7 linked regions of the Danio rerio genome follow. The protein of the gene in region 2 purifies or fractionates together with the protein of the main gene of each other region. This does not show direct contact. Links are inferred from orthologs where the notes say so. Each region holds a gene or a part of one and is shown on either strand. Other genes may lie near its edges. The genes, in order: bcas2, prpf19, prpf8, plrg1, sf3b1, rpa2 and snrpd2.

Evidence for each region.
Region 1: the proteins of prpf19 (region 2) and bcas2 purify together in Homo sapiens (co-immunoprecipitation; 10 studies listed by BioGRID and IntAct, counting the BioPlex papers as one, with this or other methods). This does not show direct contact. The link is inferred for Danio rerio from reciprocal best matches to the Homo sapiens genes PRPF19 and BCAS2.
Region 3: the proteins of prpf19 (region 2) and prpf8 purify together in Homo sapiens (affinity purification with mass spectrometry; 5 studies listed by BioGRID and IntAct, with this or other methods). This does not show direct contact. The link is inferred for Danio rerio from reciprocal best matches to the Homo sapiens genes PRPF19 and PRPF8.
Region 4: the proteins of prpf19 (region 2) and plrg1 purify together in Homo sapiens (affinity purification with mass spectrometry; 8 studies listed by BioGRID and IntAct, counting the BioPlex papers as one, with this or other methods). This does not show direct contact. The link is inferred for Danio rerio from reciprocal best matches to the Homo sapiens genes PRPF19 and PLRG1.
Region 5: the proteins of prpf19 (region 2) and sf3b1 purify together in Homo sapiens (co-immunoprecipitation; 4 studies listed by BioGRID and IntAct, with this or other methods). This does not show direct contact. The link is inferred for Danio rerio from reciprocal best matches to the Homo sapiens genes PRPF19 and SF3B1.
Region 6: the proteins of prpf19 (region 2) and rpa2 purify together in Homo sapiens (affinity purification with western blotting; 4 studies listed by BioGRID, with this or other methods). This does not show direct contact. The link is inferred for Danio rerio from reciprocal best matches to the Homo sapiens genes PRPF19 and RPA2.
Region 7: the proteins of prpf19 (region 2) and snrpd2 fractionate together in Homo sapiens (co-fractionation; 3 studies listed by BioGRID). This does not show direct contact. The link is inferred for Danio rerio from reciprocal best matches to the Homo sapiens genes PRPF19 and SNRPD2.

The regions. Positions count from the first base shown.
Region 1 is NC_133183.1:12,585,319-12,589,409, forward strand, and holds the start of bcas2 (pre-mRNA-splicing factor SPF27), read right to left. Parts: upstream 2,801-4,091; 5' UTR 2,765-2,800; coding exon 2,672-2,764; intron 2,459-2,671; coding exon 2,366-2,458; intron 2,283-2,365; coding exon 2,212-2,282; intron 1,318-2,211; coding exon 1,156-1,317; intron 1-1,155. UniProt on the Homo sapiens protein: Required for pre-mRNA splicing as component of the activated spliceosome. Component of the PRP19-CDC5L complex that forms an integral part of the spliceosome and is required for activating pre-mRNA splicing.
Region 2 is NC_133189.1:18,672,395-18,676,174, reverse strand, and holds the end of prpf19 (pre-mRNA-processing factor 19), read right to left. Parts: coding exon 3,629-3,780; intron 1,342-3,628; coding exon 1,259-1,341; intron 1,154-1,258; coding exon 1,048-1,153; intron 940-1,047; coding exon 842-939; 3' UTR 501-841; downstream 1-500. UniProt on the Homo sapiens protein: Ubiquitin-protein ligase which is a core component of several complexes mainly involved pre-mRNA splicing and DNA repair. Required for pre-mRNA splicing as component of the spliceosome.
Region 3 is NC_133190.1:30,766,022-30,769,990, forward strand, and holds the start of prpf8 (pre-mRNA-processing-splicing factor 8), read right to left. Parts: upstream 2,801-3,969; 5' UTR 2,682-2,800; intron 2,078-2,681; 5' UTR 2,067-2,077; coding exon 1,946-2,066; intron 1,847-1,945; coding exon 1,678-1,846; intron 1,578-1,677; coding exon 1,413-1,577; intron 1,016-1,412; coding exon 797-1,015; intron 718-796; coding exon 505-717; intron 427-504; coding exon 301-426; intron 206-300; coding exon 100-205; intron 19-99; coding exon 1-18. UniProt on the Homo sapiens protein: Plays a role in pre-mRNA splicing as core component of precatalytic, catalytic and postcatalytic spliceosomal complexes, both of the predominant U2-type spliceosome and the minor U12-type spliceosome.
Region 4 is NC_133176.1:27,248,272-27,252,485, reverse strand, and holds the start of plrg1 (pleiotropic regulator 1), read right to left. Parts: upstream 2,801-4,214; 5' UTR 2,703-2,800; coding exon 2,694-2,702; intron 2,506-2,693; coding exon 2,399-2,505; intron 1-2,398. UniProt on the Homo sapiens protein: Involved in pre-mRNA splicing as component of the spliceosome. Component of the PRP19-CDC5L complex that forms an integral part of the spliceosome and is required for activating pre-mRNA splicing.
Region 5 is NC_133184.1:33,854,378-33,858,321, forward strand, and holds the start of sf3b1 (splicing factor 3B subunit 1), read right to left. Parts: upstream 2,801-3,944; 5' UTR 2,775-2,800; coding exon 2,747-2,774; intron 975-2,746; coding exon 799-974; intron 691-798; coding exon 589-690; intron 461-588; coding exon 346-460; intron 1-345. UniProt on the Homo sapiens protein: Component of the 17S U2 SnRNP complex of the spliceosome, a large ribonucleoprotein complex that removes introns from transcribed pre-mRNAs.
Region 6 is NC_133191.1:4,971,333-4,975,561, forward strand, and holds the start of rpa2 (replication protein A 32 kDa subunit), read right to left. Parts: upstream 2,801-4,229; 5' UTR 2,667-2,800; coding exon 2,654-2,666; intron 2,431-2,653; coding exon 2,339-2,430; intron 741-2,338; coding exon 639-740; intron 1-638. Other genes in the region: ube3d (E3 ubiquitin-protein ligase E3D), read left to right, coding at 3,257-3,333. UniProt on the Homo sapiens protein: As part of the heterotrimeric replication protein A complex (RPA/RP-A), binds and stabilizes single-stranded DNA intermediates that form during DNA replication or upon DNA stress.
Region 7 is NC_133193.1:43,804,206-43,807,054, reverse strand, and holds part of snrpd2 (small nuclear ribonucleoprotein Sm D2), read left to right. Parts: intron 1-533; exon of another isoform or gene 534-603; intron 604-1,314; coding exon 1,315-1,494; intron 1,495-2,849. UniProt on the Homo sapiens protein: Plays a role in pre-mRNA splicing as a core component of the spliceosomal U1, U2, U4 and U5 small nuclear ribonucleoproteins (snRNPs), the building blocks of the spliceosome.

The sequences.
Region 1 (4,091 bases), on a different chromosome or scaffold from region 2:
GATTGTGTGTGTGTGCGTGTGAGTGAGAGAGAGAGAAATGGTCTCAGTCGCAGTGAAATAGGGGCTTTGCTGTAAATGTCAGTGAAAGACTGATCCAGCAAACACATGCAGTGAAATTGTGCACAGTTTATGAGTTTTAAGTCGTTGGATCATTGTAAATACTTGCACTCGCCTCCCTCGCAACGGAGTGCATATGAGATAAATGACGTCAGTACATAATAACCTGTTGTGATTATTACTGAATTGTTACTGATAAATGATCATATCGCATTTTAGATTTATGATTACGACAAGCATTTGATAGGTTTTTTCTTTCATAGAGAACACAAAGTGTTGTGCATGAAAATAAATGTTTACTGTGTCAGTATCACTGTAAACATGCTTTGGAACAGTAAAATTAATAACCCTAGCCCATATATAAAGGAAATATAATGGTCTAATGTTGTCAATGACAGATGACAAGCACATGTCTTAAACATAATAAATCAACTTTATAATTATGAAAAGTTATATTCTGATGTCATCATTTTACTGTGAATTAACAAACAGGACATATTGAAGTTCAAGTATAATCAAGTGTAATCAGTTAGTTTATTTTTATAAAGTAATTAAAAAGTTTTTTTAGTTTTTTAATAGGGTAATTTGTAATCTGTGATCTATTACATTTCCAAAGTAACCCCCCCAACACTGCACATGACCTCTTATAACAAACTAATGCTCATCTTGGTGTTTCCATCAATAATTTTTTTAAATGCATCTCCAAAATGAGCATAAAAATAGGTGGATGGAAACATAGCTAATGACAGGCCTAATACAGCCAAGGTGACCGACTAAAAACACTCACCGAATTATTACATGATTAATTATTATTGCTTTCAAACAGAACAGATATACTTTTTGAAAAGGTACATTATATTGTAGAACTGCAGATTAACTATTAATACATTTGACATTTGTAACTTTTTCTAACTGTGATTGTAATGTAATAATGCACATCTTTTATAAAGCTGTTTTGGAACAGTAAAATAATACTCATTTACAATAATTTAATAGAAACAGCTTCATATTTCTGTCAATATCACACACCCCTAGAGTATAGAAAGTCTGATTTGCATCAAAAGATGTGAATAGTCTGATTTAAGTCAGTTCACTCACTCATTAGACATCTTCCATGCATTGGTTCCATACTGAGCCATGAGCTCCAGGTTCTCAATGCGCACCGCCTGATGCTCCAGCTGCGCCATAGAGTTATTCACACAGTCCTGCCACGCTGTCATGTCGTTCTTCTGTCCGGACGATGGAGCGGGAAGCTCATATCTAAACAAACAAGTGCAAGAATGTGAGCTCGATCAACAAATTAGTAATTATATTAGGGTAAGCCTATTACTGTATGTGCACTCTGGGAATGAATGAATGTAGAGGAATTGATAATTATGTCATCGCATTGTTATGACAATCACAACCAACCGGTAAGCTTCAAGACCTGATTTCAAGTTTTGGCCTGATCTTGAGTCTCATCAGTTTGTTTGTTTCTTGATTTTGCTTATCGCTGTCAACAATGGATTTGGTTTCAAAAATTTCTGATTTTCAGAAATCTACACAACAGTGAACAGCAACTTATTGAATTATAATATATTCCTCAATGAAAAGGACAAATGCTCTTTAAGGAAGGGGGGATTTTACAGAGCTAACCACTTCTTAAATGTTTGAGTTGGACAATAAAACTCAAGTAAAGAAAATGACATACTCATAAATAAACAAACTATAAATTAAATAAAACTACTTTCAGGACAGTCAGAAACCTTGGAGTGGTTCTTGACCAGCTGAAATTTACAGACCACATAGCCACAACTGCCCGGTCATACTTGATCAAATTCAAGCTACAGTCATTCACCTACAAAACGTGGCTCTGCACACGTTTACTTAAAGTGATTTAAAGTGCTTTTTTATCCTTATATGCAAGTTGTTTGGAAAAAAAAAAGGCATCTGGTAAATGAATTAATGCAGATGTTAACAATTTATTATTTCTTTGATGCATGTTTATGCAAGTAGCCCCAGACCTACAAGTTGCTCAATTACTATATGGTACAGTACAATCTGATTGGTGGAATACTTTTACGAGTTTTAGGTTTATGAGTATTATAGTACTTCCCTATCCACTTTGAAAGTACATTTTTACAGACAGTTTTAACTTTTGCTCAGTAAATTGACCTCTTCATACTGAGCAGCTCCATGGGTTGACGGGCAGCCAGTCTCTCAAACTCATTCCTCATGATTTCTGTCTGATGAGAACAAAAGCAGAATATAAGATTACAGTGTGAACAAGTAGAAAAGGAGCAGAAAATATTTCTCATCTTTTATTTACCTCAAAAGCAGAGAAATCTGGTGTGGGCAAGTAACTCAAGTAGTTTTTAGTTGGTCTGTATCGTCTCGTCTCTTCCTCCACCAAAGCAGCGGCCTAAAATCCATCAAACCCGATTATTTCTCGATTTAATAAAGATCACTGTAATACCAAACCATACTTAATCCACAAAAACGAAGGATTAAATATCCAAACTGTCTTGTTTATGCAACAGAACTAGCCGTTAGCCAACTGCCAGCAAAGTAAATATTTATTCTTCATCGTTTTAAAAAGACAGAAAGCACAAAAATACATATTCAGTGTACTTACGGCTTCTCTGACCCCTGTGGCATCATAACCCTGGTCGAAATAAGGCAGGGCATCAACAAAAACATCACCAGCGACTGATGCTGGTCCTGCCATCCTGAACAAACACACGCTTCGCGCACTGCTTCTGCTAGGATTACATTGAACGTCAAACGGAAGGTAGGCGCCATCTTGTGTTTCGGAGAGAAAACGCGCCATCAGTTTATTTAGCGCGAAAGTTTGACAGAAAGTAAAAAGAAAACACATTGAAGTCACAAAAAACATGCTATCCAGTGAAAGTATGGTCACCCAAAGTTGTCTGTTTTTTTTATGATCTTCTCAAAATGTTGCTAATGAAACTTACCTTTTTTGCTGCTTTGCTTTTTTCATAAAAAACATTCAAATGTCAAGTTTTTTAAATGTTGTAAATTGTGGAACAAGCATTCACCAAACAAGTATATTAAGCAAAAAAACATTTGTTGAAAAAATGAAAAATGAAAAATGGTAACACTTAATATAAGTACCCTCTATTTTACTTATTACTGCCTTATTGGCTCACAAGTTATTTATTTTACCCAATGGTTGAGTTAAAAATATTTGGTGCTTTGTTGGGTTATTTTGAAACTTTATTGGGTTATTTATTAATAACTCATCCAGTTGGGTTAGATATTTGGTGTTCTGTTAGGTTATTTTTAACCTTTATTTACTTAATAACTCAACCAGTTGGGTTAAAAATGTAGAATTTCAACAGTCTACTGATTTAACTGATACAGAACAGCTTTATTGTTATGTGTACATAATGATGTTTTTGCGTTAAAAAGTTTAAGGTCTAACGCAATACATTCTTTTAATCAAATTACCTCTCCATGTCATGTGTTTTATATCCACCAGCACTCTGAATTGTTAATAATACAAACACCTCATAGCCGATCTATATTAAACAGATAAAACCCCTTAAGTGTCTGGAACTTTAAATGCAATGGAAATAAAGCATTTTCAATATTTTTTAAACTGTATGTTATTTATTTACACAGCCATAATTATAAAATAATACTAGTACTAATAGTAGCAATACCAGAATGGAGAAAAATTACATTTAATCAAAATAACCAAATGCATTGGGTTAAAATAACCCACAGTTGGGAAGTTGGTATAATAACCTAGTTGGGTTATATGTTGATGTATTTTTAATCCAAGTATTTTCACTGAGTATATAATACATTTTCTGCTTGATCTTATTCTTCATTGCTAATACTTAATACCTAAACTAAAACCTAATTATTAATAAGGAATTTATTAAGAAAACAAAGTCAGTGTTGATGGGTTTTTAATAGCAAAAATTGTCCCTTAAAATTGTCTCTAGAGGAGCACCAGCACTGCATGTTTTGGATGTCTCCTTCGTTACACTCATTACAGGTCTTTCAGTCTCCACTAATGAGCTGAT
Region 2 (3,780 bases):
TGTTTTTTTTTTTTATAAATGTCACACGTTACATTCCTTTTTTATTATACTAAAATATTTAAATACTTTAGATGTAAAACTAAGCATTAACAGCAGCTATGTTTTCCCACGCTAACCGTCTGTTACATTGTTACTTTTTAAAATATATGGTCATATTTGCTGTAACTTTGCATGAGCACATCAAGTTCAGCTGGAGAAAGAAATGGTGATCTCTTTTTTTCAGATGTTGCCATGGTGAATTGTAATATCTGCGCTCCATTGATAATGCCTTTTTATAGTTGCGGTGTGCGCACTTAACTCTTGAGTTGGTCTACTCAATGTTGATTGACCTAACTCAGATCAGCTATTCTGAAACTGAAAACTCTGAGTTTTTAATCTCTCTGTAAATCAAATCAGAGTTCAAGTTTAAACTTAGAGTTGGTTGAACCTCCTTACTGAAACAGGCCCCTGGTGCCTGTCATGGATGAAAACGATGAGTCAACAGATTCATACACAATAGATTAAAAACAAATTTAAACTTTATTGGAATCTATTTCACATTTGATGATAGTCCACAGAAGGATAAAAAAAGAGAGAAGTCATGGGACACTAACAAAGTTTGCCAGCCTACAATCAAAAGATTAAAAGGTAGACGAAAAAACAACTGACATTAACCCTTATTGCCAAAATTTGTTTTAAAGCAATAATTGACAAAAAGATGAATTTACTGGTGACAAAGTCAAGGTGTACTGAATGTTTCTGAATTAATCACTACAACCATGTTTATGATAGTGAATGCATATCTATGTATACACATGCACACGTACAGAGAGATGTATTTGTTGTGGGAGTATTGTTTCTGTTACAGGCTGTAGAACTTGAGACTTCTGTCCATGCCTGTGGAAGCCAGGAACTGAGCATGTTCACCAAAAGCCACACCAGTCACCAGACCAGAATGATCTACAGGAAGAAGAAAAAGAAATTAAATTAGTTTGAGGACACAGAATAAGCTCTTAATTAAACAACAAACCCAATTTTGGACAAACTTCAAAGCGTTGTTCAACTCACCGGAGAAGTTGAGGACCTCGGACCACTGTTTGCAGATATAAACTCTGATGTCTGACCCTCCCACAGCTAGATATGTTCCACTCTGATCAAACACCAGGGACTTGACCTACATGATCAAAAAAACAGCAAAAATATTAGACAAACGTCCTGTAAGCAGAACAACTGGCAAACTGATTAAAACCATTTGACAGTGATATTTCTGGGATTCGACCTCGTAATTGTTGTCCAGAGTGATTGTCTTGAAGTTCTTCAGCTTCCTCAGATCCCACAGCTTCAGTGAACTGTCCTGAGCACCTGCATACAAAAAAAATGTAGTTTGCATGACAGTGAACACAAGTGATACTCAATGCAGAGCCAAATGGGCAGAGCTTGCTCAGAGTTAACATCTGTCATGATAAAAACTGGGGGCTACTGCGGAAAGCAGGTAATTGGACATGTACGTATAAGTGCCATGTAAGTGAATAACTGCAGCTTTCAGGTCCAAAAACCAAGATATCTTTTATAGTAAGAAACAATTGCTCTAAATATGCAGCAGGTTACGTTTTAGGGTTAGTTAGCTTCTTATCTACCTACCTACCTACCTACCAACCAACCAACCCAACTTCCTACCAACCTAGCCTCTACCTTTAGCTTCCTACCAACCTACCTAACTACTTACTTGCCTAACTTTTAACTACCTTTCTACCTACCCATTTAGCTTTGTACCTACCTACATACCCAACTGCCTACCTACCAAATTGTCCTACCTACCAACCTACCCATCTTCCTACCTACCTACCTAACAACCTCTCACACCCACTCTCTCTCTATTTCAGACTTACTCTCTCACACGAACTTCCTACCTACCTACCGAACTTCCGACCTACCTACCGAACTTACTACCGACCTACCGAACTTACTACCGACCTACCGAACTTTCTCCGACCTACCGAACTTGCTACCAACCTACCAAACTTGCTACCAACCTACCAAACTTGCTACCAACCTACTAAACTTCCTACCAACCTACTAAACTTCCTACCAACCTACTAAACTTCCTACCAACCTACCACACCCCCTACCTAACTTTTGAACTACCTACCTCTTAAACTCACTTATACATCAACATCCTATAGACCAGTGTTTCTCAACCACAATCCTGGAGGACCACAAACACTGCATGCTTTGGATCTCTCCTATGTCTGTCACACCCATTACAGGTTTTTCAGTCTCTGCTAATGAGCTAATGACTGGAATCAGGTGCGTTTGGTCAAGGTGACATGGAAAATGTGCTAAGCTGATGGGCCTCCAAGAATGTGATTGAGAAACACTGATACACCCAACTATAGACCTGAACAGTGCAGTGGCTTACAAATATTCAAAGACAAAATGCAATCCAAAGATGCCTTTTAAAAGAAATCTGTGTTTTTAAAACTAATATACCAGAAATCAATGATTTATTTTATTGATTAGACACATTTACTGTTTCACAATATTATGTCTCTTAAAATGAAATACATGTTTAGTAGTATAAAAAACTGATGTTTTTACCCAGACATTTAAAAAGAACATAACCAAGGTTATCATAGCGTCCGAATCTCATACAAGCCCATGCCTAATATATATGGTTGTGTGTGTTTCTTAATTTCTACTATTTCTTAATTTCTACTATTATTAGCATATAATATTACTATTTCTTAATTTATTTTGTAAGTTAAACACTCAAAATATGTTTAATTTATTTTTACTATTATTTACTTCTTACTATCTTACTATCTTTTAATAAAATACACCGGTTATGCAATCTTATTACAGAAATATATTCCCCCCCTAACAAATATGGAAGCAAAACCAACCAATCATTAAAAACAACTTCCAAAAGAGAAAGTGTAAAAAGTGTGTGCATGAATTCAAATCCACTTCATTATCCTGGATGTTGACAGCAGCTTCCTGACACGCACATATTACTGGACTACACTATCATTATATTATATACACACAGTAGAAGCCTACATCAAACACTTAAGGTAACAATGATTCATGACTAATGATTAATCTAGTTCTGTTAATAGAACTTACTCTCAAAAGAAGTTTTGGTGCACATACTTTGAGTAAGCAAGTTAAGGGTTAATCAACGCAGAGTTCAGGGTTAAGCAAACAGAACACCTACTTTGCAGCAATGCAGTAAAATTACAAAAATATATAAACTGTAAGAATTTATATAATCTTTAAGAACTTAATTACAGTAAGATGTTATAATGTCTCAAGCAAACCTCTGCATTAAATGTAATGTTTCATTTTTCTAATAATTTTAATTTCCGTTTTTTTTCGTAATAACTCTAGTTCTCTAGAGCTGCAGAGAAGTAAACTAAAACTTGCTAAACAACACAGAACTTAATCAACACTGAAATAGTCACCATGGCTTCTTTATAGCATGATTCAGATCATATTTGATGGAGGCCCTTAATTCTGTCATTTTTTGCATTAATAACTGTAAGGCTGATTTGCAACAATGTACTGTAAAACAGTATTTAAATAACTACTTCAGAAAACAGGTAAAATGCAGATTGAACAATGGACACAGACAGATCACATGACTCACCAGTGGCTAGATAGTATCCATTCTCAGAGAAGGCAATGGCCGTGACTGGACCTGAATGTCCAGGGAAGTTGGCTACATTGGTTCGTTCCTTAAGATCCCAGATCTTAATCTGAGAATCGCCCGTACCAGTGCCGAAAATCAGACCATCAGGA
Region 3 (3,969 bases), on a different chromosome or scaffold from region 2:
TGGCAGTGGCTCTTGGCTCTATGGAGAAAATACAACTTTGCAATAATTGTGGACTGAATGCACAGACGTTTAATTCATACAGTTTAATTAATTTCTGACCTTGACTGAGTGCCTATGAGAGATGGGGTTGATCAGAGGGTCAAAGTAGAAGGCGGGTAGATCAGGATCTTCAGTCTTGATGAACACCACATTTGGTGTATGGTACCTGTATAGACCACCACAGAACAACAGTTCACTTAAAAACATCAGTTCAAGAGTTTTTGTGAATGATTGAACTGAAGGAAAGATAATGGTTCCTACCAGGTGAGGTGCACATGATGTGGCAGATTGTTGTACAAGTAAGGGAATGCAATTTTGTATTCTGTCCTGATTGGCTGTCTGATGATGATCTTGTTGATGTCATTGAACTCATTCCAGTCTTCATCCCTAAAACGAAAGTCAAGTTAGATCCCTGGATAACATAAGCAATTGCCAAATATACCACAGTTAGGACACAGTACGTACTGGAGGTTAATGTCTCTGACAAGTGGCTCAAATTTAGGTCCTCCAGGAATGGCCATGTTCAAAGCTTTAGAGGTGAAGAAAGCTTTCAAGTCAAACAAGTAAAAGTAATTGTCATCCACCAAGTCTGTCAGCAGCTGATTAGCCAATCGATACAGAGTGGACATCATTGGCAAAGTGAATTGCCATCGTCTGTATGTGGTCCCATTCACGTATCTGTGGAAGGAAGAAAAAAGACAAACCATAAACAAATGAAGCAAGTAACCATATTTTTAAAATTGTCCCCAACACTCACTTGGTGGTGTCTTTCAGAGGTTGATGCTCATAGAGCCAGTCTGTGACAGAAGAGTCCTCATCAGGGTCCAGCTCCATCTGGATCGCCTCCAGAGGCTCCACATCCAGGATGTTGTCTGCATAATCCAAAGGAGGCTCTTCATCATCAAATGGCGGGAAACGCATGCGCTTGAAGTGCCGTCTGTCTCTCTTCTCACGACGCATCATGATCCACATTGTGCTGGTGTAAAGAGAAACAGTTTAAACATTATAAAACAATAAAAAAAAATAAAAAATTGAATAAACAATATTGCTACAGCTTCTCCCCAAAAAGGGCACTATAAATCTTTCAATCAAAATATTTCCTTCTCAAATATGACAAGCAAAATATTACAAAAAAATTAATTTATTTAATTTTCCTTGTTTTACTTTGAAATACGGTAATGATAAGATGTTTTAATGTTAATAATTAATTACAATAATATGACAATTTTTACTGCTAAAATTACACTTTGGTCGCATAACCACAATTTACTGCACAACTACGCAGCACCCCAAGAAAATACTACAAATGGCCTTAGCCAACATTTTTTCCCACTAATCTATCCTCTCACAAGTGACATCACACAGCCACTTACCCCCACTGAGAAATGTACACTGGCTCAATAACCCAAGGGATTTCATTCACGAAAGATATAGCGCCTGTGATGTGGTAGAGCACAGGTACATCTCTGATCTGCTCCCAGGGCATTGGCATGTTCTCCAGCAGTTTGAGCACTGCATGGGGCATATACTTCAGGGCCCTGCAGATTAAAAACAACAATTAATTTTACATAAAAAAAACTTTAATAATGATAATCATATAAAAACCAGCTACCTTTGTAATGATGCAAATGTTCTTACCCTAGGTAGACTCTTTTATCATGACGAAATTTCCTGTTCGTCATGTCACCATGATCCCTGATAATTTTGCGCACATGTTCTGGTGGCATGTCCTCTTTCTGAGCATCCACGAAGCCAAATTTCCTTTTCTCAGAGTAGCGCTTGGCCTGCAGCTGCTGCCATTTACGAGCTACAAGAAGGAGATTTCATTTGAAAAAAAGGAAACAAACTTTGAGTCTTGGGTACAAATTGCATGCCGTTGTTAACCTCAAGAATTTTGCCAACGCACCTTTCTCTTGCAGTTTCTCCTCAGTCATATAATCTGGCACTGGAGCAACAGCAGGAGGAGGTGGAGGAACACCTGGAGGCATTGGTCCAGGAAGACCTCTGTAGGGGAAAGGAGCTGCCATGGCAGCGTCTACTGCAAGCAGAAACATTAAATCATAAATATAGAAGGTTACACTGCAAAACATGAGTAACGCACAGAAAAGACAACAATTATTTCAATAAAACACGTCCTCACAAGCCTACAACAACAACAAAACCTAAATAAGAATTCAGTAAGCAGGAAGACTGACCTAACTAATGCTAATTTAATCGTTCTAAAAGAAACTAAAATGTGGAAGTATTATCAACTAGCTTTAAAGTACATAACTTAATCACATTTTTTTCATAACAATCACATCAATGAACTTAGCCGACTAACTTGCTATCGCGCCTGAACTCTTTTCTTACCTTCGAAAAATAATCTAGAAACTATTTATTTACACAAGACAGCCACCGGGTAGACTTTTACACAGTCTTTATCTTAAGTAACAATATTTACGACTGGTGTGTATGAATGTATGTGGTTTGATTAGTTTCTGTGGCATCGATAACGCATTAGTTAGCATGTTAGCTTAGCTTACCGAATATTACACAACAAGTAAACCGTTTCCGGAAACAAACAGTTTCAAATCGTAAGTGATACTTTGAAATCTTGCAAATAAAATATGCACAAGCTCGTACAGAATGAAATAACTTACAGTTAAAAGCAGTTTCTCGCCAGTGACTGTAGTTGTACGGTGGTTTTGTGCTCAGCGGAATGGCGTACTATGCACGTTGTGCGTAGAGTCTTTCCATTCTCCAAAGCGCTTACGTATCTGAACAATTCTACCTCAACGGAAATGATAACAAGCTACGACTTCGAACGTAAGAAAATGCGTAGGACCCAACTTCCGGATATGACACCGGATTTGAAAAGTCTCGCTGTCCTTTTTAATTTTTTACTAACATTAGTAATAGGGGACACATAAAACATTAATTTGTCCTAATATTGTGTGACCAGAATACTAATGATACATATTCGTTGTACAGCTAGTTACAAAGATGTTACAAAGGCTAAGAAAAAACAATACATAAAATGTTTATATATATATATAAATATATATATATATATATATATATATATATATATATATATATATATATATCTTCAGCATTTCAGTTGTCTTGGCAGCTTTCTTCTTTAGCAATTCATAATAAAGTTTTAAGTCAATACAAAATGTTCTATTAGGCAAACACTGAATAACTCTACATTTGTGAAGATGGAAAAGGCCACAAAGAGGTAAAAATGTCAACACACTGTCCAATTCCTTACAATCTGACTCCCAAAACAAAAACAATAAAATAATTGTCTTAAAATCAATAAGGATTTTATAAGCTGATAAGACAAGCCAAGATATTCTGTCTAAAAATAAATGTACTGTTGTACTATTAGATTTATAGAATGTGCATTGTAAAGAATTGTTTTTATTAAATTTAGATAGTAAAGAATTACAGGGATAGTAATTATGAAGGATTTTAAAATAAAGTTCTGTCATCTTATTTGGTACTAAAAACGTATTGATACCAGGCCAAATTGTAATGAGGGATAGAACCGGGTAATTTAATTTAAAGTTATAAAATGCTTTTCGGTACAAGCTAGACTTATTAACAAAATTTCTTCTAATGTGCTAATTATTACATTTAATATAAGTAATTTATCCAATAGCTAATTAATAAATAACTAATTTGTGCATTTCACATTTTAAGTCTGTATAAGCATAGGTTCTAGTCAAATATAATAGTTTTGTTAAAATAGATTTTATAACCAAATCATACTCTGGGCTAAGTATCCCTTCAGAAAATTGCAGAAAACTCAAAGTAAGAGTAAATGTTACCGTCCTTTTTTAATAAATCTAAAATAAGAACTATTCCTCTGTCCACCAATTCTTTAATAGAAATAGATTTTCTACTCTACAGCACATTCTGATAATTCCATATTATAGATGT
Region 4 (4,214 bases), on a different chromosome or scaffold from region 2:
CGTATGCTTTCACCCATGAGAGGAGTGGGCGGGTCTGCGACCAGCTCCTCCATGGCTGCAGGACCAGATGGCTGCCCACCCTCATCGCACTACATCCATATCCCCTGTTCCCATCCCAGTTGTCAATGTTGTGTCTTGTCTGTGTGCTTTCTTGTGCTAGATGGGCTGTTTTTCTCCGTCTCAATTTGCTCTAATCAAGAGCAAAGTTTAGAGGGTATTTTTTGCCTAACCCTCCTGATGCATCTTGCCTTTCTAAATGCTACCTCCTGTGACCTGTCTTCCCCTGAAAATTGTGATGTTTGTGTACGGTCAAATTTCACAATACGAAAGTGTATGTGACAAATAAAGGCCTGATTTGATTTGATAAAGCCTAGACAAACAAGCCATCAGTATATTGTAAACCGATGGGTTTAAATATTCCTTTCCAGTTATCAAAGAAATATTTTGTTCCTTCATTTTAGTTTTGTAACTATTAAATTGTTTTAAATTCAAAATTGTAATATATACATCACTGTAAAATCCTATAAATGGTTATCTCTACAAAAGATGTCTGTACAGGCGTACCTGTTCCAGACAAAATCTCTTCAAAGTGTTTCATATTAAACTCAAATCAAATGCGGCACCGCACACACTGTTTGCTCGAGTGTAAAGAAAAAAAACTATTCCCGAAATCATGTTGTACGCACCCAAACCTCCGCAAACTCCGCTACGATGTCACATTGGCTGCGCCTACTCAATCGAACTAGCTTAATTTTAATTATGTTCCAGAGAATGATAAAAATGATAAAGCTCTAGCATTTGACAAAGGACAGCTTCCAGAATGTTTCCAAGTTCAGTGTTGGATTCGGCTAAAACTCCTCCAAAGAAGCAGAAGTTGCAACCATAATAGACAAAACTGATATTTATATTTGTTATAATTGATCTACTACATGCACAGTTTCTATCATTAACGGTATGCTGAAGCAAAGACACAAACAAAAATGTAAACAATGGGAAATGCTGTAGGGCACTACTAACAATTTGGCTACAAATTCATATTTGTCCATCAAACCCTTGTAAACAGCCACAATCTTTACCACGCTGCAGTGTCTATGAGGTCGATTTCCCTGTGTTCTACATCTCAGACAACAAACTCGCAAAAGATATGTGAAAGTTTCATATTACTTACACATGCTTATTCCGGATATATGTGAAAGACACTTGTCAGGTTTTATTTTAGAGAACGGGCGTGAGGTTCAGCTGTGTCCTTTTCTTTTTCTTTCTGATTCAGGCTCAAACTGATATGACTAACAGCTAAACTGATTGACAGTATTTACACAAGCAAAGGCACAGTGCATGCTATTAGAGGTGCATTTCCTGGTGACGTGGAGCCGATCTGTGAATCACAGCACATTATGTTAGCTGACCAATCAGAGCCTCTTGAGGACAGGCTTTTGAAGAAACTAGGAAATGACAGTTGTTTTCATGTTAGCTGAGTAGTTGTATATAATCAAAGTAAGATGTTCTACAAATTAAACATGAGCACACATTGCTTTGCATCTTATAAACACAACAAGGCTTAAAAATACACTCTGGACCACCCCTTTAAAAGCAGGACAGTCCAATGAAATTTGTTTTGCAGATAAGGAAATCTTGTAAAACAAGCATTGAGTAGGATCTTCACAGTGGTGATGAACAGCCTGTCAAATGCTGTAAAATGTTATTGTAAAAAAACATGGCTTTAACAAACCCTGTAACACGAGTTTATAAATCACCACCACCATTCAAAATGTCTTTTCTGCTTGAAAAGCCAGTTTGCTCAAAAATTAAAAATGATTCACCCTCCCAATTGATCCAAACTTGTCAGATTTTTTTTTAGTTGAACACAAAATAAGACATTTTGAAGAATCTTGGAAGCCGGTAGCCAATGATGTCCATTGAGGAAAAGTTGGTTTTATATCCGTACATTCTTTCAGTGATAACTTGTGACATGCTCCCTATATTGTTTACCTAGGTACTTTGATCATTCAGTCTGAAATCACATATAAATATGACTTCAAAACAACATTAGCACCATTTATTTGACTGTGAACAATACTGTATTTTGATAGTCGTGGCTGCTAATATGGTTTTCCCATTTAAAATTTGCAAAGATTACTTTAACAAAAATTATATTATTAAGGAGAAAGTCCGAATGAGCGAATACAAAACCAGCTTCACCTCAATGTGACGCTTATAATATTTTCCCTACTATGAATGTCAATGGCAACCGGTTTCCAAGATTCTTCAACATATCTCAATTAAATAGAAACGTATTAAGGTTTGGAACCATCTGAGGGTGAGTGAAAGGTCTATATCGATTTTAATTTTTAATCAACGTTGCCATACAATACTGAGAGCAAAAAGTTTGATTATTTACCTCTGCTCGTCCTGCGCTATAGGTTTGGCATGATCCGCCACAAACATATCATGAGTCCGTTTCAAAGAGCGAAACACAAGCGTGTGGACTGAGTGCTTCTGCACGTCCTGTGTGTATAAAAAAGACAAAATATCAACATCGATTAATTGATTGGATATTATAAGACGTATATGCAGATCCAAATGACCACACGTGTGGTAATACAGTAACGTTACGCCGCGTTCAATTACAGAAAAACTAAACAGATATCATTTTCAAATGAACAACGGCTAATGCAACAACAGCACAGCCTTACCTCGGTCATGTTTGGGGGTCCTTTAAAACACGACGAACTAACGCAAATAAAGAAACTTCCCAACACACCGAACAATCACAACCCGAACCAGTAGTGCAAACGTACGCACAGCTTCCGGGCGCGACAAAGCGTTTTCCGGTAGGGTGTTACGTCAGCAAGACACGACAGTCCATTAAAAGTCTTTTTTTTTTCGTATTTTATTTTTATTTTTTTATCACCAAAAAGTCAACTTATGGCCATTTACAATAAACACAACATTTACAGTATCGATGTATTTGGCTGCCAACAACTTTGGGAAGACCACATTAAACACTAAAGTTAATGACTGCTTATGGGTTCTAAACAAACAAACCAATAAATAAATAAATAAATAGATAGATAGATAAATAAATAAATAAATAAATAAATAAATAAATAAATAAATAAATAAATAAATAAATAAATAATGTAAAAAGGTCAGGCAGCCAATTTAATTTATTTCATCTGCTAGTTTTGAAAATTTAGGATGTAGTAAAAGACCTACTAGTGAGAATCCACAAGGTGGCACTATAAAATAATATACTTTTTTGCCAAGAGAAAGTGTTTTTTTTATTTACATATTTTTAGATATATGTTAAAATTTGGTATATGATGCTTTATAAATATTACAGACCTTGAAAAAAATGTTTGTTTATATATAATAATATTTAAGTGATTTTATATAGCCTAAACTTATGAAAATACCTCCAAACATATTTTTGTTCATGTTCCATAACTCTGGTCACAATTTGTTTTAAAAAATAAGAACATTTTACTAAAAATTTATATTATTTGATTTTCATCAGCTTATTTAACATTTCTTTCTTCAAGTTTATTATTATTATATAGGCTAATATTGTTTATGATTTTTTATTGTAACTAAATGCGGCCATCCCACACATTTACATGGTCCTTACCGGAATTAAAATAGCTTTTATTATGATAGTTTATTAAAGCTAAAAAAACTACTTTGTATGAAAACAAAATTAGTAGTCCTATGTAAACTGACTGACTGGGCCGCCTTGATACCTTACTCACAAGATATCAAAATATGAGGTAAATATAATATTTTCTGTGTCGTTTTTTATTGTGTGTCCTTACCATACCATACATTATTGAACTACAAAAAGAAATGTTTATTACTGTTTAATTGATGTATATTAAGATGATAGCTATCTAAACCTTGATAGCTGCCATCAACATGGCATATTTGCAATAATATCATTAAAGGATTGGTTTACTCAAAAATGAAAATTCTGTTATTAATAACTTACCCTGATGTCATTCCAAACCCTCAAGATAATAGTTCATCTTCAGAACTCAAATTAAGATATGTATGAATCTAAGAGCTCCCTTATCCTCCATTGACAGCAAAGTTGCCTACTCTTCGTTGAGAAAGGTACCAAAAAAAAAAAAGAAAGAAAGAAGAAAATGAATGAATGAATGAATGAATACATTTGGGCACACATAAAACAAAAATAATGAGCTGTTGAAATATTTCTT
Region 5 (3,944 bases), on a different chromosome or scaffold from region 2:
CTTAATTCTATAATTTATATTTATTTTGTTAAACGTGCAGTACACCATATATTATTATAAAGAGTGGCCTGAGTGGTTTAGAATTTACTAACAGAACAGAACTGTTCAAGTATTTTACACTTATTTTATCCTTAAATGAAAGTTTTAAGAAAAATTCAAAGACTTCGCTGAGCACATATCAGGGCCTTTACAGATCAGTCCAGGGAGCAAGCAGTTGGGTGGTGTTCGAAGGGTTAAGCAGCAAAAAAGGCCGGTCTGCACCGGATCGTCATGGGCAGAGAACATAAATACTGATTGGCATGGGCAAATAAAATAAGCAGAGGAGAATGGTAGTGTGAAATTTACCATCAGCAAACGGGTCATGACGCTCTGGGGAGATGATCATCTTTTGTCTGCGCTTCTTGTATTCATCCTCCCTGTCTGAAATTTTCTGCGGTCTGTGTTCGGCAAAGGGATCATACTGCAAAATGGGTACAAACAATTGTATGATCAATTCGAAATTGACATTTCAAAAACACATACAAAAACTTCACAAGAAAACACACACACACACACTGCAACTTGAAGGTGGAAAGTCTGTTAAATTACCTGCTCATCTGACTGAGGAATTGAGTTGAGTATTGCAACCGGAGCATGATATCCTGGTTTCTTCTGTACAAGGAGACTTGTAGATGAATCCTCGTCATCATCCTAAAATAAAAATAGTTGGGGTTAGGTTCAAGAAACTAAACAGAATTCTTATACACAATGGAGTTGTATTTTTTGTTTTACTTTTAAGAGCGTTATGCTATAACTTACATCCTCCTGCTCATTGGCAGCAATTGAAGTCAAATACCCATCAAAGCGGCTGTCACTGCCCCCGTAGATCTCCTGGTCATAATACCCAGTGGAATCAAGGCCAACTCCTTGGTCACCGCCCTCCACCACCAGAGCGGCTTTCTTCCCCTGGATTTCCAGGATCTGAGCCTCAATGTCTACAACAAAAACAAAAAACAACAACCAGAGATTAGTCCTCTAAAAATAACAAAAAACATTTTAACTAATATTATAATAGGTGAGGTGACCTGGAAGTCATTTTCCACCATCACTAACGTCACTTTTATACATGTTAGGCATGGGACAATAACCTTTTTCAAGGTATACCGTGGTTTGGAAATGTCAAGGTTTAAAAAAAAACACCAAATTTTTCTGTAACGTAGGATTTTTTTTACGTTTCGTTTTTTTAGGACAACAGTATCTCTAGCAGAAAAAAAATCTCCAAAGATGCCAAATTTAAATTTTAAAGAAATCTGTTTTTTTTTTTAACTAATGAAGTCTGTACCTATATATATATATATATATATATATATATATATATATATATATATATATATATATATATATATATATATATATATATATATATTGTGTTCAAAGTGAAATGTTTTTGTTTTTTAACAGATATTTAAAAAGAACTTATTTTAGAGCAGTAATTGCAAACTTTTATCCAAGGTTATCATACAGTCGGAACCTTTAATACACACTGACATTAAACTGCATATTCTATTAATAGAACAAACTAAGGTAAATCTGGTTTTATATTTTTATATTTATATTATGGCCTGTATATTGTTTACTGTGCTATGAATATTCAGTCTAAACTAACACAAGAGATTTAATCTAACCCTAAAGAATAATAAAAAAAACAGTAGCACTATTTAATTGACAGTCATATGCCTTCCCTACTAAGAATTTGCAAAAATTCTTTTTCTGAAACTATATTATTAAAATCAACAATCGATGAGTTTTATATGCAAAAAATCTCTACATGCCGCTTGATATTCTTCTTCAATTAGCATTTTTCTCTAACTCCTGTGTGTAGGCTCAGTAATGTTACTGTTATAGTAATGAATAAGTTATTTTCATTGACTTTAAAGTGAAATAACAAGGAGGCTGAAACAAAATTCTCATTTTAGGAGACAAGTTGGCATTTAGAGATTTTTGAATCCTAACTCTTCAATTTAAGACAATGATTTGTAAACCATACATGCACAATATTAAGACAAAAAGAAGTCCCTACATACATATAAAATCCTTACAAATATTTATAACTAATACGTGAAGGGAGATGTAACTTATATTTTATTATTACTTAGGTATTGTCATAAAAACATTGCATAATGTATTAATATAACAAAAGTGCGTAAGCCCGCTTAACATAATGACTGTTGCAGGACAATCACCCACGGCCATGTGTTATACATAAACATGGAAAATGCCAAACGTTAAACAATGAATACAAGTTACATCTCTACAAAAATAAAATAAATAACCACACTATCACAAGTAAACGTCTATGAACATACCTACATAATGGAAAAGCTCTGTTTGTGTTTGCAACGCCATTTTGGTTTCAATACATCACTGATTAACCAGTACATCTTCACATTACGTAGTCTACATAGACAAAACAGACACATGCTAATGCTATTTTCTAGCACTGTATATTACAATTAGCTCTGCTATAATCCACAAAAAAACTCTTAATGCGGAAAAAGCGCTGATATTTTATATGTGCGCCACGGCCAGGTTTTATTCAACGACCAGACGCCATATTCTATTCACGGGCTTAGCCAGTTCTAATCCTGCTCATTTCTCGCTTAATGCACTTCTTTTAAATAAAAAGTGGCATTAAGCACAAAATGCAATATATAAAAAACTACAAAACGAGACATGCTTCTTGCAAATATTTGAAACCTAAACTCACCATCATGTGTTTTGGCGATCTGCGCCATTTTCGTGCTGTTGTGTAAGCCTCACTACCGGAAGGCCTTTCACGACAGCGTCTCGTTTACAAGAACGCGCATGCGCATTCTCTGCGGCAGAAAATAACGCACATGCGCAGAGCACAAGCACTAGGCGTCAACACAGCTGGCAAGTGACAGCATTCTCTTGTTAAGTTTACCCCCCGCTCTGCTTGAGGAAAGAGCCACAACGGAGTGGAGGATTTTCCAAATGTTTGCTTGTTGTTTTTAGTTAGAGACTCTAAGGTATAGATTAACAAGATAAAATGGAATAAGGCTATTTATGAACCAAACAACTTAATTAATAGCATATTTATGTGGCAAAGACCAAACTTTTTTCAGGAGGAATGAGAACAGGACAAGTTTACTTGTGTCTCTTTCGAAACATTAATTCATTTTCTTTTTTGGGGGGGGTTAGTCCCTTTATTAATCAGGGGTCTCCACAGAGGAATGAACCGCCAACTTATCCATCATATATTTTATGCAGCGGATGCCCTTCCAGCAACACAACACTAGGAAGCCCTCTTGCATTCAAACACATGCACTACGGTCATTTTAGCTTAAATATTTTAAATAGTATTACATAAAAACCGTGCTCTCTGTTGTTTTGAATGCTTATGTTACAGGCGCATGTAAGACAGATTTGACTGCAGTTTTAAAAAGCAGTATGGTTACATAATCAGGGGGTTTTAAATTTGAGTTAAGGAAGTTTTAGCTAGGGGTTCTATGGAAATGTTTGGGGGAAGGAATGGAGAAACTAGTACATATAGTAGTAATAATTAATAATTTAAATAATAAAAAATAAGTAAATATTTAATAATGTAACATAATAGAAACATAAGCATATTCCAAATACTATTTTAGATCTATTTATAGTATGTTCAACATGTTCAATGTATAAATTTGGTATTTATTCCAGAAACTATGTGGTCTGGGTGTCTTACATTTTAGGATGGGGTCTTTTGCACAAAAATGATTATATTTTGTCTTTATTATCATGAAGTTTAAAATGTATACATGTGTAATTACTTTACATTGTGAAAAACTGCTCCATATTATATTTAATTGACTTAGGACTAACTTATATTACTATCAAATTCTGTGACGATAACAGTAATGGCAACAGTAGTTTAGTAGCAATTTCATTGTAACTTAACTGGA
Region 6 (4,229 bases), on a different chromosome or scaffold from region 2:
AGTTTCTATTATCTTTGTATTTTATTTTTTAATTTAAAATTAAATTACAATTAATTTAAATTTTAAAAAATTATTATTTTGCAAACGATGTGCTGCATTTAAATAAGGAATGAAAGAGCTCTTTACCTTAAATTTGTTTCGAATAGTTTTGTTTAAAAATCATGAATAAATTGTGTATTGTGAATAAACTCTTGAGTCAGGTGAATCATTACATCCCTACATAGTATTCGTTTTTCCTACAATGGAAGTCAATGGTTACAGATTTCCAACATCTTTCAAAATATCTTCTTCAACAGAAGAACTGAACACAAAGGTTTGGAAACGCTTGAGGGAGAGTAAAGAGTGAGGAAATTTTCATTTTTGGATGAACAATCCCTTTAAACTAGGGTGGCAATTCTTTTATTTGTTTTTTTTATTATTGTATATGTAATGTAATAAAAACATCCAAACCACATACAATGCAGCACTTTAAATACAATGTAATAAGAGATGAATCGTGTTTTGAAGTTATGAATTAGATTTTTTATATGTGAATGAATTCTTTTTTATAAATATATTACTTTTGAGACTGATCTGGCTCCATAAAATGGAAACCCTTTCAATAAAAATGTGGATATTTAGTGATTCTTCAGACTGACCTGTGCGATCTCCACCTCTCCCACTTTAAAGACGTCCTCAGCCTGCACCGCCGACAACAGCTGAGATACAGTACAGGGAACGATCTGCTGCGCTCGTGTCCTCTGAACACACACACACACACACACATCACTGTTACACTTTACAGCATCACACATGAAGATCACAATACTACACTGATTTCCCACTGTTTTCATAATCACTTAAACAACACGATAATGACTCAAATAAGTACTGTTAAAATAACAATACTACTCTCTCTACGGTCATTCTAACAGCTACACAAAAGATGTATTAGGCCAAAATAGTGAAAGTCGTATTATTTTTACACAAACAGAATTGTCCCCAAACATATCAATACTGCATTAAAGTTATAAGTTTGTTTGCCTAAATTTAAACAGCGACTTGAAAATTATTGAAATATACTGAAAAAACCTTCTATAAAAGATATGATTTATATACCTTATTAAATATTATTCAGTATTTACACAAGCAAAAACAGACCTAAACATTGAGATGAAAGACAAAGACAATTTTGGCAATGAAAATTAAATACTTCATAAAAGAATTTCTAAATCTTTTATATTTTATTTATTTTTTAAATAACAGAAAATAGCTTAAATGTTTAGCTTAATAGCTTAAACTCAACGTTTAGGCTTGTATTGTATTAAAAAGTGCATTAAATGATAATAAAAAATAGTTTGAGCAAATCTATTGTCTGTTTTAACTTTTTTTACGATGTGTCGCTTTTATTTTAAGCAAAGAAATATAATAATAAACAAAAATAACAACTAATAAATATTTTATTTCAATTTACTTCAAGTTACATAAGATGGCCACTAAATTTAGTTTAGTCTCAAACTCTAAATTTTATACCTGTCATTTGAAATCTTAATATTTATTAACTGTTCTGCAAAACATTTCACTTTACCCATTTGTTAACAAAAAGTTAAATTATAACCAAATTTAGTTTATTAAATTACTCTTTTAACTATATAATCAGGAAGTACATAACAGGTATTTGCTTTTGTTTAATTACACAAAAACTTGTTGAGCTTAATACCAAACAATTTTTTCACACATTTTTTAACATTTCGTTGTCACAAAAATAGTCTGAAACATTGAAGTGAACATTTAACTTGTATTTTTTACTTTTTTTGTCATTTCAAAATGCAGTTTAGAAAGTGCACGATATAGGGATAAGTTAAAAGTGCTATTATAGAAAACTATGGGTAATATTTACAAATATATGTAGTTTAAACAAAATATACTCAAGTCGTATTAACTGCAATTAAATATTTAAACAGAATTAAATATGGTATTGGAGGAATTTAATATGAACCCCACACAATTGAGGTAAGGTGGGTTTAATATTCGCACATTCTCCTTAAAGATAAAACGTCACAAAGTATTTATGCAAATTTTAAATGCTAAAATCATATTATCAGCTAGTGACTATCAAAGTACAGCATTGTTTACAGTCAAATAAATGGTGTTAATGTTGTTTTGAAGTCATGTTTACAAGTGATTTCAGACCAAATATTTAAAGTACCATGGTAAACAATATGAGGAGCATGTCACAAGTTGTCACTGAACGAATGTGCGAATATAAAACCAACTTTACCTCAATATATATATATATATATATATATATATATATATATATATATATATAGGTGTTTAAAGTTATTTATATACTGACCCCCTTTTTGTCTCCTCCTTGAGAAGCGGCTGGTGACCCGAATCCTCCAGGAGACTGTGTGTACCCAGCCATACTGGCCTCTCCGTATTTACCTGCAAAAATATGAATACCATATTTCAATCAAAACGACTTATTGGTTAAAAACCCCGTCCGACTGGCAGTAACGTAAGAGTGCGTTAAAAACAGACCTTGACAACACACCGCTAACCGACATCACACTGACACTGTATAACAGAGCTTTCTGACTCTCATTAGCGGACTAGCAGAGTAAACTCAGCTCTAAAGCCAAAATAAAGTGATTTCTAAAGCACGTACCTTGGTTCCACATTTCACTCGTGAATGTTTTTCTTCTGAATGCGAAGCAGACCGACAAGACACTCGAAAATCTCCCGCCACGACTGATCGCGCACAGTTTGACGTCACGTCTCGAAGTCCGCGCGCTCACAGTACGCGTGCGCGTGTGTCATCTGCCGCGAAAGTCCCACACGTATACTGTAAAAGTCCACAGAAGCTTGTATGTTGTTAAAATTGTTTTTAAATAAAAATAAAGCATAAAAAAATAAATAAAAACAACAAAAAATCTGTAATCTTTCTTCACTGAAATTTACATTAAAACGTTTACGCTCGTTCTCATATGTTTTGGAATAGTTAAAGCATGTAAGCGGGCTAAGCCCAGTCATATATTGTTTATATATTAAAATAAAATAATTATAATAACTGTCCAAATATGTTTGAAAACAGCGTTTTTTAAAATGTTTTTAAAAGTAACGTTAACACTGAACAGATGCAAACTGAATTCTGAAGACTCTTAATATGAAATGACGGTGTCGCAGACAGTTTGTCGTCACGTTGTTTTGTGTGTCGCGTGGGATTTATGAGTAGAATCGATGAATCCATAGCTTCTGTAAAGAAATACCAATGGAAGAGACTGCGAACACAGATGTCCTCTTTATTGAGCTCAGACAGAAGCTGCAAAGCGGCCTTTTGTTCATTCGGTAAAGTTTTTCTCTTCTACTTTGGCTCTCTCATAGTCACTGACTGTCAATGCAGTGTTTCATCAGTGTATGTGAGTGAATTATGTCATGTACAGTTACACTTAGCACCCAGGGATTCAACGGGATTTCTTTTAACGTACTAGGGTAACGTTACAGCTTATTTTGAGTTTATTTACTGGAATAAAAGGTTATACAATTTCAGGAGGCAGACTTTGGGAACACTAAGTTAGAGAGTACTAAAATATAGTCGTTTAAATGTTTATAGCTAGGTTTTAAAATTATTTATATAGTATACTGAATTATATATATTATACTATTGCATACTGTTTTATTTTTTACACTAGCTCTATAAGATAAAACAGTTAGAAATGCCACAATGAAACACTAGATGGCAGTATTGACCAGATAGTTGGACAGCTTATTTAACGCCATGATATTTTCTTTATGAAAAATAACTTTATGACTAACGTTGCTGTTAACTTTAGACCTCTTAAAATCGAAGAAATTGATTTCTAACACATTTCATCCTAAGTCTCTTCATGCACTGTACAATATGCAGGGTTCCACATAATTCCATAGAGGTAAAGCTGGTTTAAATTGAGATATTCAGACATTCTCCTTAATAATATAATTTCAGAAAAGTATTCTTTGCAAATTCTAAATAGGGAAATCATATTAGCACTTTAGCAGCAAATGATTATGAAAGTACAACATTGTTCACAGTGAATTAGACAGTGTTAATATTGTTTAGAAGTCAAACTTGCATGCTAATTCCGATCGAATATTCAAAGTAACATGGTAAACAATATAGAGACTGCTAAATGAACAAATGTGCGAATATAAACTTTGGGAACCACTGAGTTAGACAATCTAATTATAACTTGAGGAGACAAATG
Region 7 (2,849 bases), on a different chromosome or scaffold from region 2:
CTTGTTTATCAGATGTCTCCTCGCTGCTCATCTTCACCGTGTTCACCGGGGATGATATTTACACACGCTGTGAAGTTTGTCATACCTCCGCGGATGCGCACTTCCGTTCATTTGCATGGAGCGACCTAACTGGCATCTGTTTAAAGATTTAAAGTTTACATGAATCTTTGACGCTGACATAAGAAAAATAGCATTTTAAAAATTACTTTAAATAATCCGGGAGCAGTTTCATTTAGTGAACCACCTTAGCGTCTAGTTCAGGTTCCTTTCCATGCTACTGTGAATATTCTGTCTAATACAGCATATATGACTTCAAAACAACATTAGCAGTATTTCATTGACTGTGTGTGAAAAAGTTGTACTTTGATAGTCATTGGCTGTCTGCTAATATGATTTCCCAATGTAGAATATAAAACCAACTTTACCTCAATGTAAATATTATAGGGACTGTGTCACATGTTGTCTCTGAATGAATGTGTCAATTTAAATTTTACTTCTCCTCAATTTAAATATGTTACTATTGCAGTGTGAATGGATGTAGCTCAGTGGTAGAGCGCATGCTTTGCATGTATGAGGTCCTGGGTTCAATCCCCAGTATCTCCAAGAGCCTTTCGAGGTTCTGTCCACAGACGATAAACAGGGTTAAGAAAGTGGTGTATGGTCATAGGTTTAGTTGCAGCGTCTTCAATTGTCTTATCACACTAACTGTACAAAAAAAAAAAAAAAAAAAAACTACTAACACTTCCCTTCTTAGACTTTACAGACCTGAAACTTGCCTTTAGTACTTATTCATTGTTGCTCTTAGTTGTGTAAATTGCTTCCTTGTCCTCATTTGTAAGTCGCTTTGGATAAAAGCGTCTGCTAAATGACTAAATGTAAATGTAAATGAAGAGATAAAATTGCTTTAAAAAAAAAAGTATGCAAAAGTAAGCCTATATTAACATGGCTATTTTTTTAAAGTACTCATGGCTAGGGTTTTATACTTGCATATTCATTCAGTGACAACTTGTGACATGGTTTTCTACATTAATTACCTTTCAACTTTGAATATTCGGTCTGAAATCGCATCCAAGTAGGACTTAACATCATTAGCACTATTTTATTGTCTGTAAACAATGTTGTACTTTGATATTCATTGACTGCTAATATAACTTCCCCATTTAGAATTAAGAAATAATGCTTTTCTTAAATTATTATTATTATTATTAAGAGGAAATCCAAATATGCAAATATAAAATCACCTCAATTGTAATTTGGCCGATGTAAATTTTAGCCCTTTATGCAGACATGCTAACTGTTGAAATGTCTCATCAGGAGTTTATTAAACAAGCCCAAATCTGAGATGACTCCAGAGGAGCTCCAGAAGCGAGAGGAGGAAGAGTTTAACACCGGTCCACTTTCAGTGCTCACCCAGTCTGTGAAAAACAACACACAGGTCCTCATCAACTGCCGCAACAACAAGAAGCTGCTGGGCAGAGTCAAAGCATTCGACAGGTAACTCGTGTCATTTTGAGTGATAAATAATGCAAGCAGGCTTTGTTTACATTAGTGCTGCACAATATTTCGTGTCAGCATCAATATCCCAATGTTCGCATCTGCAATAGTCACATTTCAAAATATGCAAGAATTTTGTTGACCAAGAGCGACAGAATTGTGTTTAATTACTGTATTTATACAGGATTTAGGCAAATAAAGCATTTCTTATCATTTTTGGCTTGTTTCTAGTCCAAATGTTTACATTTCAAAGCTAAAAAAATAACAAAGTAAAAGTGAAACAAAACTATATTTACTTGATTCAAAAATTTTAGATATTTCCACTAGTAATGAGACAAAGCAAAGCAAGAAAATTATTTTTTTTTACATTGTGATTAATTTCTGTGAATTTAATTTCTGTACCTGAATACTGTTAGACTCTATTGAAAACCATCAAACAGTGCTATTTAAATTCTCTTCTAAAACTGTATCCCATATTGCAACATTTATTGCAAATTAAAATCTCACACTATCAAATTTTTCTAAAATTGTGCAGCCCTAGTTTACATGCACAGGCTTGTGTTGATATGATTAAACTTTTGAATATCTGTGTTGCAATAGTTTTCTGAACAAAGTATCTGCAGAGTAATAGTTGCATTTTGTGTCAACATAACCTATGCTTGTGTCTCCTGTTTGCTATAGGATTTGCTAAGATGTGTATTTTATTTGCTACAAATAAATTATATTGAATTATTTAATGATTTTGCTGAATATTTTCCCAATACTACCATGTAATATATAAACATAATATAAATTATTACTATATAATATCTAAACTATTACTATATAATATATAAACTATTACAATATAATATATGAACTTTTAATATAAGATATTTAATATATAAACATATTATTAACTTTTCCTATATAATATATAAACCATGAATATATAAGATATATAATATATAAACTAGGCTTGGGCGGTATCCAACCGGCGGTATACCGTCAAATCTCCTCCCTATTTTAACCAGGTATCCGGTATTACCAAGCATAATAAACAAAATTACGACGTAAGGCTCAGACAGCGTCACCAAATTGTGCCTAAACCATTCAGAAACTGATACCGTATATGCGACCTTAGGTTTGCGGTCACCTGTTTGTCTTGTTTGTATTCTTCTGCGTAGGACGCTCTTTCTTCAAACACACACACACACACACACACAGAGATAGAGAGAAAAAGAAGAGAGAGAACCAAGCAACACCCAGCAACTCTCTTTCTCTCTCTCTCTCTCTCTCTCTCTCTCTCTCTCTCTCATTCACACACACACAAACACACACCGAGAGAGAGCACCAAGTGACACACGCAGATTGCA